2 linked regions of the Coturnix japonica genome follow. The protein of the gene in region 2 purifies or fractionates together with the protein of the main gene of each other region. This does not show direct contact. Links are inferred from orthologs where the notes say so. Each region holds a gene or a part of one and is shown on either strand. Other genes may lie near its edges. The genes, in order: TXN and PRDX1.

Region 1 (4,469 bases), on a different chromosome or scaffold from region 2:
TGAACGCAGTTTAAATAATCAGAGCCAGCATATATACATTATTTCAACTCCACTGTTGCCAGTTCTTGTGGAAATGCACCAGCTAGGTCCCTACAGACTGATGCATCAGCACACCAGGACAGACAAAACGCTACAGTGTGTTAGTTCCCCGCTGTGTATCCAAGTGCTTTATTCAATAGTTACCTATCATATCCTTCTAAGATTCCTCCTTCAGGAAAACACACCATAGACAAAGAAGGTTTCCACCATATTAGAAGTTGCACAGAAGTATTTCTATATACTTAAAGTTACTGTGAAAGACAAAAGCTACTTACATGGAAAAATGGCTTGATCATTTTGCATGGTCCACACCATGTGGCAGAGAAATCAACTACTATAAGCTTCTCACCAGCAGCTTTCAGTTCTGCCTCAAATTCGGACTGTAAAGAAAAAAGAAATCAAAACATTAAGGATTTCCCCCCTCATTTGCAAAAGGTTCAAGACTAACCCCCAAGTCAGCTTTCCCTTAGCTCCATCAGCACTGCATCCCCCACTGTCTTCTGATGAATTATGAGTATCAATTATGAAACATCACAATGCTCAGTCACTGAACTGTGGAAGTTTATGTAGAACTCAGCATGAACTGAGACCGTAAGCTAAACTGAGTAATGTTACACTTCTAACGTGATCCTGACGGTCCTTAGCATTCAGTTCTAATCTCCAATTTAATAGGATGTCGTCCATTTTCTTCTAGGATTCCTCAGAATCTGAGGACAAACTTCCACAGTTTCATGGTCTGATACCTTTCCCAAGCAATGGTTAGAATCAAGATGTTGCGTGGTTTACCCTACAGCATGTTTCCTAGAGCAACAGCTTCATCATATAAATATTTTATTATGCCAAGTAAATTGGGGTGTAACTCCAGTACTCAATGCAAAGCTACACAGTCTATGCCAGTAACAACTAACATTTAAGGTTAACAGAGATATCTCTGTTGCACTTTGTTACAAGAGACATTTCTGGACATCACGCTTTGCATTTCAGAGCTCCTTATGTGCCGCTGTTTTCAAAGAGCAAATGTTTCAACAGAAGTGTAAGGCACTGAAGGAAAGAAATATTTGCATGCTAAAAAACAAACAAGTATCTCAGGCAGAGCAAGCAGAGGATGCTGATCCAACACACAGGCAAGGGTGGCAGCAAGAAGTTCTTCCTCTCTCTCTTCTTCTCCACCACTGTGCTAATGTGGGGTGTATTCCTGCATCCCAGTCTCTAAAGCACAACACTGCCTCCAGCAAAGTTCAGCGTTCACATACACAGTAGTCCATGCTATCTGCTCCCAGTGGTTACTTAAAACCATAAGGCTGTTAAATAGAGCCTCACTCACTCCCACCTCCAAATCCCTGATTTCTGGCATATATTCTCACAACTTAGTGCTGTAACAGCCTTATTAATATTAATTCTACCTCCTGCACCCACCAATTGGACTATTTTCCTCAGTCCAAATGACTGATTGCTGTACCCTGCATGAGGAAGGCCATCCCTGGGACGCGCTGATCATATGACCACACATCTCAGGGCAATATTGCACAGAACAAGGGCAAAGTGGGAGGACATGGCACTTCCTGCAGATCACAACCCATACACCACTGGAGATCTGAGCACTGCTCTCCAGCTGCAGCCAGGCGTTACCCTGTGAGTCATCCCTAGAATTAGCTAAAATTGCTACAGGCAGCCTGAGAAGAGACACGAGGTCCAACGGTGTTACCCCTGAGATACCCAGCAAGGGGTAAGTGTTGGTATTTTTTCCTCAGAAAACATTAATATCCCTGAAGTAAGGAATACAGCAGGAAAACTGGCTGACCTTTCTGACTTCTAGTCTTTCTGCAGTAAGTATGGATTAATAAGATTCATACAGAAATATCTCCATTATCAGAATGGACACCTCCCCCTGTTAGTCCACGTGGCTACAGCTGTTAGAGGATCTCACAGCTTTTTCAGCAATATTTTCCTTAGTCCTCTGGAGGGGAAAAGCCCATAAACACTTTTCAAATACCCATCTGGTGCCTCCCTGAGGCCTCGGCCTCACTTTGCTGGGCGCAGCAGGCAGCATTATGTTAGCAGATTTCAGTTTCCAAGGGCCGGCTGCGAGAAAACAGGTGGCAAGGAGAGGTTCAATGCAGCAGGGATTCCCAGCAACCCAAAATGGAGGCCACCAACCAACGCCGTAAGAAATCCACCGCCCTCAGCATAGCTGGGACAGCCTTAATACAAGACCCCAGCTATAAGCACGATGTCTGACACCCACCGAGCCGCCCTTGGGCCGTGCTGATCCGGCAACCTGATCTAGTAAAGGCGTATGTTTGGTGGCCCTGCCAGGCAGGGGGGTTGGAACTACATGATCCTTGAGGTCCCTCCCAACCCGGGTCATTCTGTGATCGCGGCCATCAGCTGACAGCCAAGGGTCAGGGCGACGTGTTGCAGTTTAACCCGCTCCCGCAGTGCCCCCTGCGGCCGGAGCGCAGCCGCCATTGGGGAGCGGCCTCAGGCTCAGCGCACACAAAGGAGCGCGGCCCAAGGCCCGGCGCCGACACCAAGCCCCCCTCACCCACACCCCACCGTGCCGCCCCATGCACTCACCAGGCTGCCCACGCTCTTCACCATGGCGGCTCTCACTGTGCTGTACGGTCACAAGGCGGACAACGGGCTCGTCCCCGCGCACGCGCGTCCCGCACGCCGCTGCGCTCTCGGCTGTGTCTATACCGGTCCTCACTCCGCAACGCCAAACCAACGCTCTGCCGCCGCCGCCCCGGGCCTGCCCTTATATAGCCACCGCTGCATCGCGCATGCGCACTGAGCGCTCAGCCCATCGCCGGGCCACGCCCCTTCCCGCCCATGGCGCGGGTGACGTCACGAGGCGGGAAGGGGAGCGGCCGTTATAGTTCTTTCACAGGGCGGGGGTTGGGGGGAGCAGCGAGAGGGGGGAGAGGAGGGAAAATAGGGGGAAAAAAAGAAATAAAAAAAAAAAAAAAAAAAAAAAAGAAAGAAAAAAAAAACCAACCGTGTGACTGTAAGAAAAAGTGCTGCGTAACGCCGAGCAGGAAGTGGCGGGCAGGATCCTGCCCTGGAGGAGGGGAGGGGGTGGGAACCCGTATGGGGGGACTCCTCCTGTTTTATTTCTCGATTCTGTTTTAAAATCGTTTTAAAACTGGGTTTTTTTTCTGCCTCCAGCACCCATGTGCTGCGACACGGGCTGTGTGCTGGCCGTGCCACGTGTCTGCCTGTCCCCATGTCCGTGTGTCTGTCCCCTGTCTGCCCATGCTCCATATCTTCCTTTTCCTTTTATTCCCAGCCCCCTTGGCTTGTAAGAGACCCCAAAGATCATCCAGTTCCTGCATGGGAACCAACGGCTTCCCCTAGTTCAGCACCATCAGAGGACAATCAGTGTGCACTCAGCTCCCCGATAACCCACTGAAGAGACTGGACCTTAAATGGAGCCAATGCAGGACCCCACTGGTGACAATCTGCCATGTAACCCCATTAATACAACCCTCCAGTCCTGGCCCGTCAGCCAGCAGTTCTCCCAAGGCATTATACAGTGTCTAAGTGGCGCTGGACTTTGTGACCAGAGGATACAGTGAGAATCACACAGTGCAGCAGAAGGGCCAGTTTCACAGCAGATCCAAGCCTGGCCATGTCACAGAGGGCTGGGCACGTCCGGCATTAAGCAATGGTGCAGACAGCTGCCAAAGGGAGGAAGCTGCTGGAAGAACTGCCTGCAGCAACAGCTGCACCACGTTTTATCGCAGGAGAGACGGGTTATCTGCAGTGCATTACCACGCTGCATTTCATCTGGCCCTGACAGTCTTTAATGGTGCTTTCCCGTTCCTTGCAGCCTGCTCCTTGGGAGCACTCTTCTGTTGTAACTGACCCATTAAAGGTGCAATAAATATTTAATAATTAGATGGGTGTGCTGGGTGTCTGCCAGCCATATGCGCAGTGCACACAGAGCTCTGCTCTCACTGGTGACGTACCCAATCACCCAGCCTCTCTTGAACACTTGGCAGAGCACATCTGGTTGAAAGACGGAGGAGAAGCCATTGAACAATGACAGAAAGGAGGGGGAGAGCACTGCCACATACTGTACTTTCCAGGAATCAGCCCTGTGCTTCCAGGAAGCTGGCAGGAAGCAGGACCATCCCTGGGCCACCACAACCTCTGTGTGCCATCCCAATGCACATCCCATGAGTGATGTTCACAGGGTTCTGCAGCTGCCCACTCCCCTTGGTGTTCTGTGCTAAAAGCAGCGTGCAGGATCCATGCTCAGCACAGATGCATTGCACAGTGATGCAGGCAGGTTTCAAGGTGCAGTAATGCTTAACTGCTTTTTGAAAGCTTGGTAATAGAAGTCAAAAATCCACACGTGGCAGTAACCAGCTCATGCAGTTCCATTATCTGCTTCTCTGGCTCCCACCATTCATTGTCTTAACATC
Region 2 (4,401 bases):
TCAAAATGCCTGAATCTAGGATAAAACTTAGTTGTTCTATTTTAGAGGAATTTCATGCTAATAACCAACAATCATCATAATTAGGACATTCAGTCATGCTGTCAACAGCTTCCCAAACACATTCCAGTTGGCAATGAACAAAATCACTGTAAATTAACTACAGTCAAGTGGTCACTGTTACTTGGAAACCAAACCAAAGGCTTCATTAGATGCTCCCCCTCCCCACCTCCCATCCCCTGCACAAGGGGAGACTGCATTTGCATAATTAGATGTACATAAGCCCACCTCTATAGTCAGAGAGCTTGATATCCTTGAATTGCCCATCTGGCATTACTGCTGTGGCAGTAAACTCAGGGGCTGGTTTTCCAATGAAAGCCTTTCCTGAAGACATCTTGATTTAATCTGGAAAAGAATTAACAGCGCAGTTTAGATAGCTGAATAGTTTGAATACATCTTACTTCCAGGTGCAAAGCATCATATCAGTTTAATTATCAATGGGGCAGTATATCAGCATTTGATCTGGCAGCAAGGCTTAAGAGCAAAACTCATTTTAAGCTTATCACCTGGGTAGTCAGGTATCCAGATGAAACTACTAAGCACATTCTTTAAGGCATGTTAGTTTCCTAAGGACACAGTTATCTTTGACCAGGAACAGCTCATTACAGGCTAGAAGCGAGCCAGCTGCCTAGAGTTTTAGCTGTATCCACACTAAGCCTTTGTTCCAATAGGTGGATGAGCTATTAAGTCTTTCTTCCTAAATTCTGATGATGAGACTCTTGTTCAAATTCACAAAGGAATGTAAGACCTCAAACCTTATTTCCAAGCAGAGTTTGATTAGTCTCTAAGAGACCAACACTCTCCATAACTACTCTTCAGCCTTGCAAACAAAGAAGCCTTGTTTTATTTACAAACAAAAGACTCGTGATTTTGATCTACAGTTCATATTAACAACTACAGGCTCACAAACTCTTAAACCAGTGCAGCCAGGCTGGTTCCCCTGAGCATTTCAGTCTATTGAAAAAGAGTAAGAGTGTGCATGAGGCCAAGAGAAGTTTACTTCTGGCCATCAATCCTAAGTCCAGTCCTTTGCAGACACGTTCTGTACAGCACTTTTGCTCAGTGTGCAGATGCAGCACTTCAGAATCCCAGTTCCCTGCAGAGCACTGCCTTTCAAATACAAAACTTCATGAACCTCATTCCCTCAGCTCAGTCTTTAAGTGATCTCACTGAAGCCATTTTACATGCTGCAAAAGAATTATCTGGCACGGAGACACAAGCCCCTGAGCTGTTAGTATTACTGAGTCTCATATTGCTACAGAAAGCTGAGTTTCAAAGACCTTAAAAACCCTGCTTGCATGGCACAAAGTCCATTCCAGAACAGGGCAGATGCACTTCATTTCTTGCCTCCTTCTCCCTTGCCACAGCTCCAGGAGAATTACCTCACATGTCATAAGAATTTCTATTCAAGTTAAACTGATCAATTTAGAGCTTCTATGAGGAGTTTAACATTTGAAGGCTCCTCTCACATGCAGAGAGGATGGACAGTAACCCCCTCCTTCATTTTGCTTTGCAAAATGCCACCTTACTCAGCACAATTAACTGCCTCGTACAAAGAGTTCCACATTCCCAGCTCATCCGAAGGGTTCACCTTCAAATGCAGCGAACCAGGACAGAATCTTATGAACCAAGGTAGCCAGAACTGCAAGGCATTCATAAGAGGATACTGAAACGGTCTAGAATGATGACATTAATAATCCTTCCGATCACTTCATGGAGCCACAAATGCAGATGCAAGTCTGAAACTGCCATTGCACAGCATTTGTCAGACCCTCAGCCAGAAAGTTCTGTCTTTTAAGCAATACCTGCTTTATCTGCAGTACATGACCCCGTGTTTTACCACGGAATTACATTCTTTCCCTGTACTCAAGCTCAAGGTCATCCCTTTGCTCAGTACTACGCCAGACCTATATTTGTTCCATCAGCGCTTCCCTGGAGCGTAATACCAGGGTCAAATCTAAGCAGTCAGACGGCTCTCTGATACTTCCCCTTTCTGATGAAGGAATTATTGTCCCTTTTCAAACAACCTGCAAGCCTTTAACATCAGGTTATAGGACTCAGTGGTCTCCTACTGCAAGAACTGCAGCAAGTGCAGTGAAGAAAGCAGCTGCAATTTGGCACGGCCTGCTCTGCCGGGCACAGCAGCACACAGCCGCGTGCTCTGCTTGGATTTACAGCCACAGCGCTTCCTAATCCGCCGAGGAGCGGAGCACAGACTGCGTGCGAGGTCCTGCCGTTCTAGAAGCAGAAGCACGGCGCTGCAAGCGAAACGCAGCTGCACCAGCTCAGAGCGCCTGGGCTGCTCGCGGCCTCGCTACAATTACAACAAGCCGTGCCTGCATTCCAACTGGAAATTCATACCTTTAGGACACTCCGACGGGAGCGAGCCTACCCTTCCCCAGCCCTACATCGCTACAGTGAACGGACCGAGCTGCGGTGCGAGGAGGGCGGGGCTGCCCCCAGCCGGGCAGGCACGAACCGCACAGCGGCCCGCAGCCGGACCGCGCCGCACCGCCCGAGGCCCGGCTCAGTCCAGCCCCGCTCCGAGCGGCCCCCGCCGCTCCTCCTCACGGGCAGCCCGTGCCCAGACCCAATCCGCCCCATAACCCTTTCTTTTAAGGGAGGAAAAAGGAAAACAATACACGCCAAACGGCTGCAGAAAGCAGCAATCCCTGCACAGCGCTGCTCGGAGCGGGCTTGGCTCTACACCTCCCCGCGGACAGGGAAAAGAGAAATGGGAGCAAAGCCGTGAGCGAAAGCAACGTGCAGCCCCAACACCCCCCTGCCCCCCAGCGCCCCCCGCCCCCACTCACACAAAGCTCCTGTCCCCGCACTCCAGCAGGAAGCCGCCAAGTGCCGCAGCCCCCGCCGCGCCGCCCCTTTATAGCGGGGCCGATCTCGCGAGGACACGGGCGCGCCGCTCCCGGGCCGTGCCGCCCGTCCCGCCTTCCCGGGCCGCCCGCACAGCCAGCATGACTCGGCACTACGGGCTGCTGCCCCATACCGCCCCATAGCGCCCCATAGCCGCCTTATCTGCCCCGCGCCGTGCGGGGCTGCACAACGGCAGCGCTCAGCGCAAGGATGGCGGCCGGGCGGTGCCGGGGGAATGGCTGATGGAATGGCTGGAGGAGTAGGGCTGGAAGCGGCTCACGGCAGGATGAGTCAGATGGATCGTAGCAAGAAATGGCTTTAATGCCGTAATAGAACCGAGCCGCTGCTATTAGGAGTCAGCAGGGAGGGAGAGGATGGGCTGCGTTTTGAGGAAGGATGAGATCGGCTGGTGGTTGCCATTGAGGTGAATGGGGTTTGTGTGGCTTCAGTCAGGCCTGTTAACAGCAGTGTGTGCTCGGTGCCGTGCAGCCGTGGCTCCAATCTCTGCCTTAACATAGCACAGCCGAGCTCTGTGCACTGAGGTGTCACTGCAGGGCAGGTACACGGGATCACCCTGCACGGCCGGACAGTCCCAATGAACAGCTCCATATCAAGCAGCCTGCCATGGCTCACAGCACCAGCACACAACGCAGCAGCGGCCTCACCATTTGTTGTGCTCATTCCTCACACTTACACACATAAAACCCACTTGTACAGGCACCACGAGGCGCTTTGCCTTGTGTTCGTGCCTTGTCCTGCCCTGCAGCAGGCACGGCTGTAGCACAGCAGAGCTGACCCGTGCCCTGTGTGCAGCCATCACACACACACACCGCTCTGTTCCCGTTGCGATCGCTGCCCGCTGGCGGCCGGAAGCGGAAGCGCAGAGCGGCGGCGTAGCCCGGTGGTTCGGCGGTGCGGGTGAGTGCGGTGCGGTGCCCCGGGCTGGATGCGGGGAGCCGGGCGGGGGCTCGTACCGGCACGGCGGGCACAGCGGGGCCGGGGGCGCTTTGCGGTTGTAGCGATGCACAGACGTGTGGCTGCTGCCGCAGTGCGCTCCTGTGTGTATCGTGCTGGCTGAAGGCTCGTCGCTTTGGGTCGGGGCGAGCTGTGACGGTGGGTGGGTGCATGTATGGCCGTAGTTTGCACGTCCCGTGTTACCGTGCATCCTCCTGGCCGGGCTGCACGCGTTGCTTTGAGTCATTGTGAGCTTTACTCTGTCGTGTCAGTGTGGGAATAGGAGATAGGTGATGTTGAGCCACGTCTCACTTGTACCAGCTGAACCTTCTTAGTTTTTTTTGCATTTACTTGTATTTTCTCCCTTCATAAAAGAGCCGTGCTGCCTTACAACGAGCAGACTGACGGCAGCTCATGGACACTTTGCATCTCCTCATTAGGGGAAGAATCTCAGTGCAAACTATTAACGAGTGTTTCCTTGCATTCTTCCCGAGTCCGCAGCCGTGCTCTCATTGCAGT

Evidence for each region.
Region 1: the proteins of PRDX1 (region 2) and TXN purify together in Homo sapiens (affinity purification with western blotting; 3 studies listed by BioGRID, with this or other methods). This does not show direct contact. The link is inferred for Coturnix japonica from reciprocal best matches to the Homo sapiens genes PRDX1 and TXN.

Annotation. Positions count from the first base shown.
Region 1 is NC_029547.1:59,052,530-59,056,998, forward strand, and holds the start of TXN (thioredoxin), read right to left. Parts: upstream 2,842-4,469; 5' UTR 2,641-2,841; coding exon 2,617-2,640; intron 420-2,616; coding exon 315-419; intron 1-314. UniProt on the Homo sapiens protein: Participates in various redox reactions through the reversible oxidation of its active center dithiol to a disulfide and catalyzes dithiol-disulfide exchange reactions.
Region 2 is NC_029523.1:18,753,284-18,757,684, forward strand, and holds the start of PRDX1 (peroxiredoxin-1), read right to left. Parts: upstream 3,003-4,401; 5' UTR 2,871-3,002; intron 403-2,870; 5' UTR 392-402; coding exon 286-391; intron 1-285. UniProt on the Homo sapiens protein: Thiol-specific peroxidase that catalyzes the reduction of hydrogen peroxide and organic hydroperoxides to water and alcohols, respectively.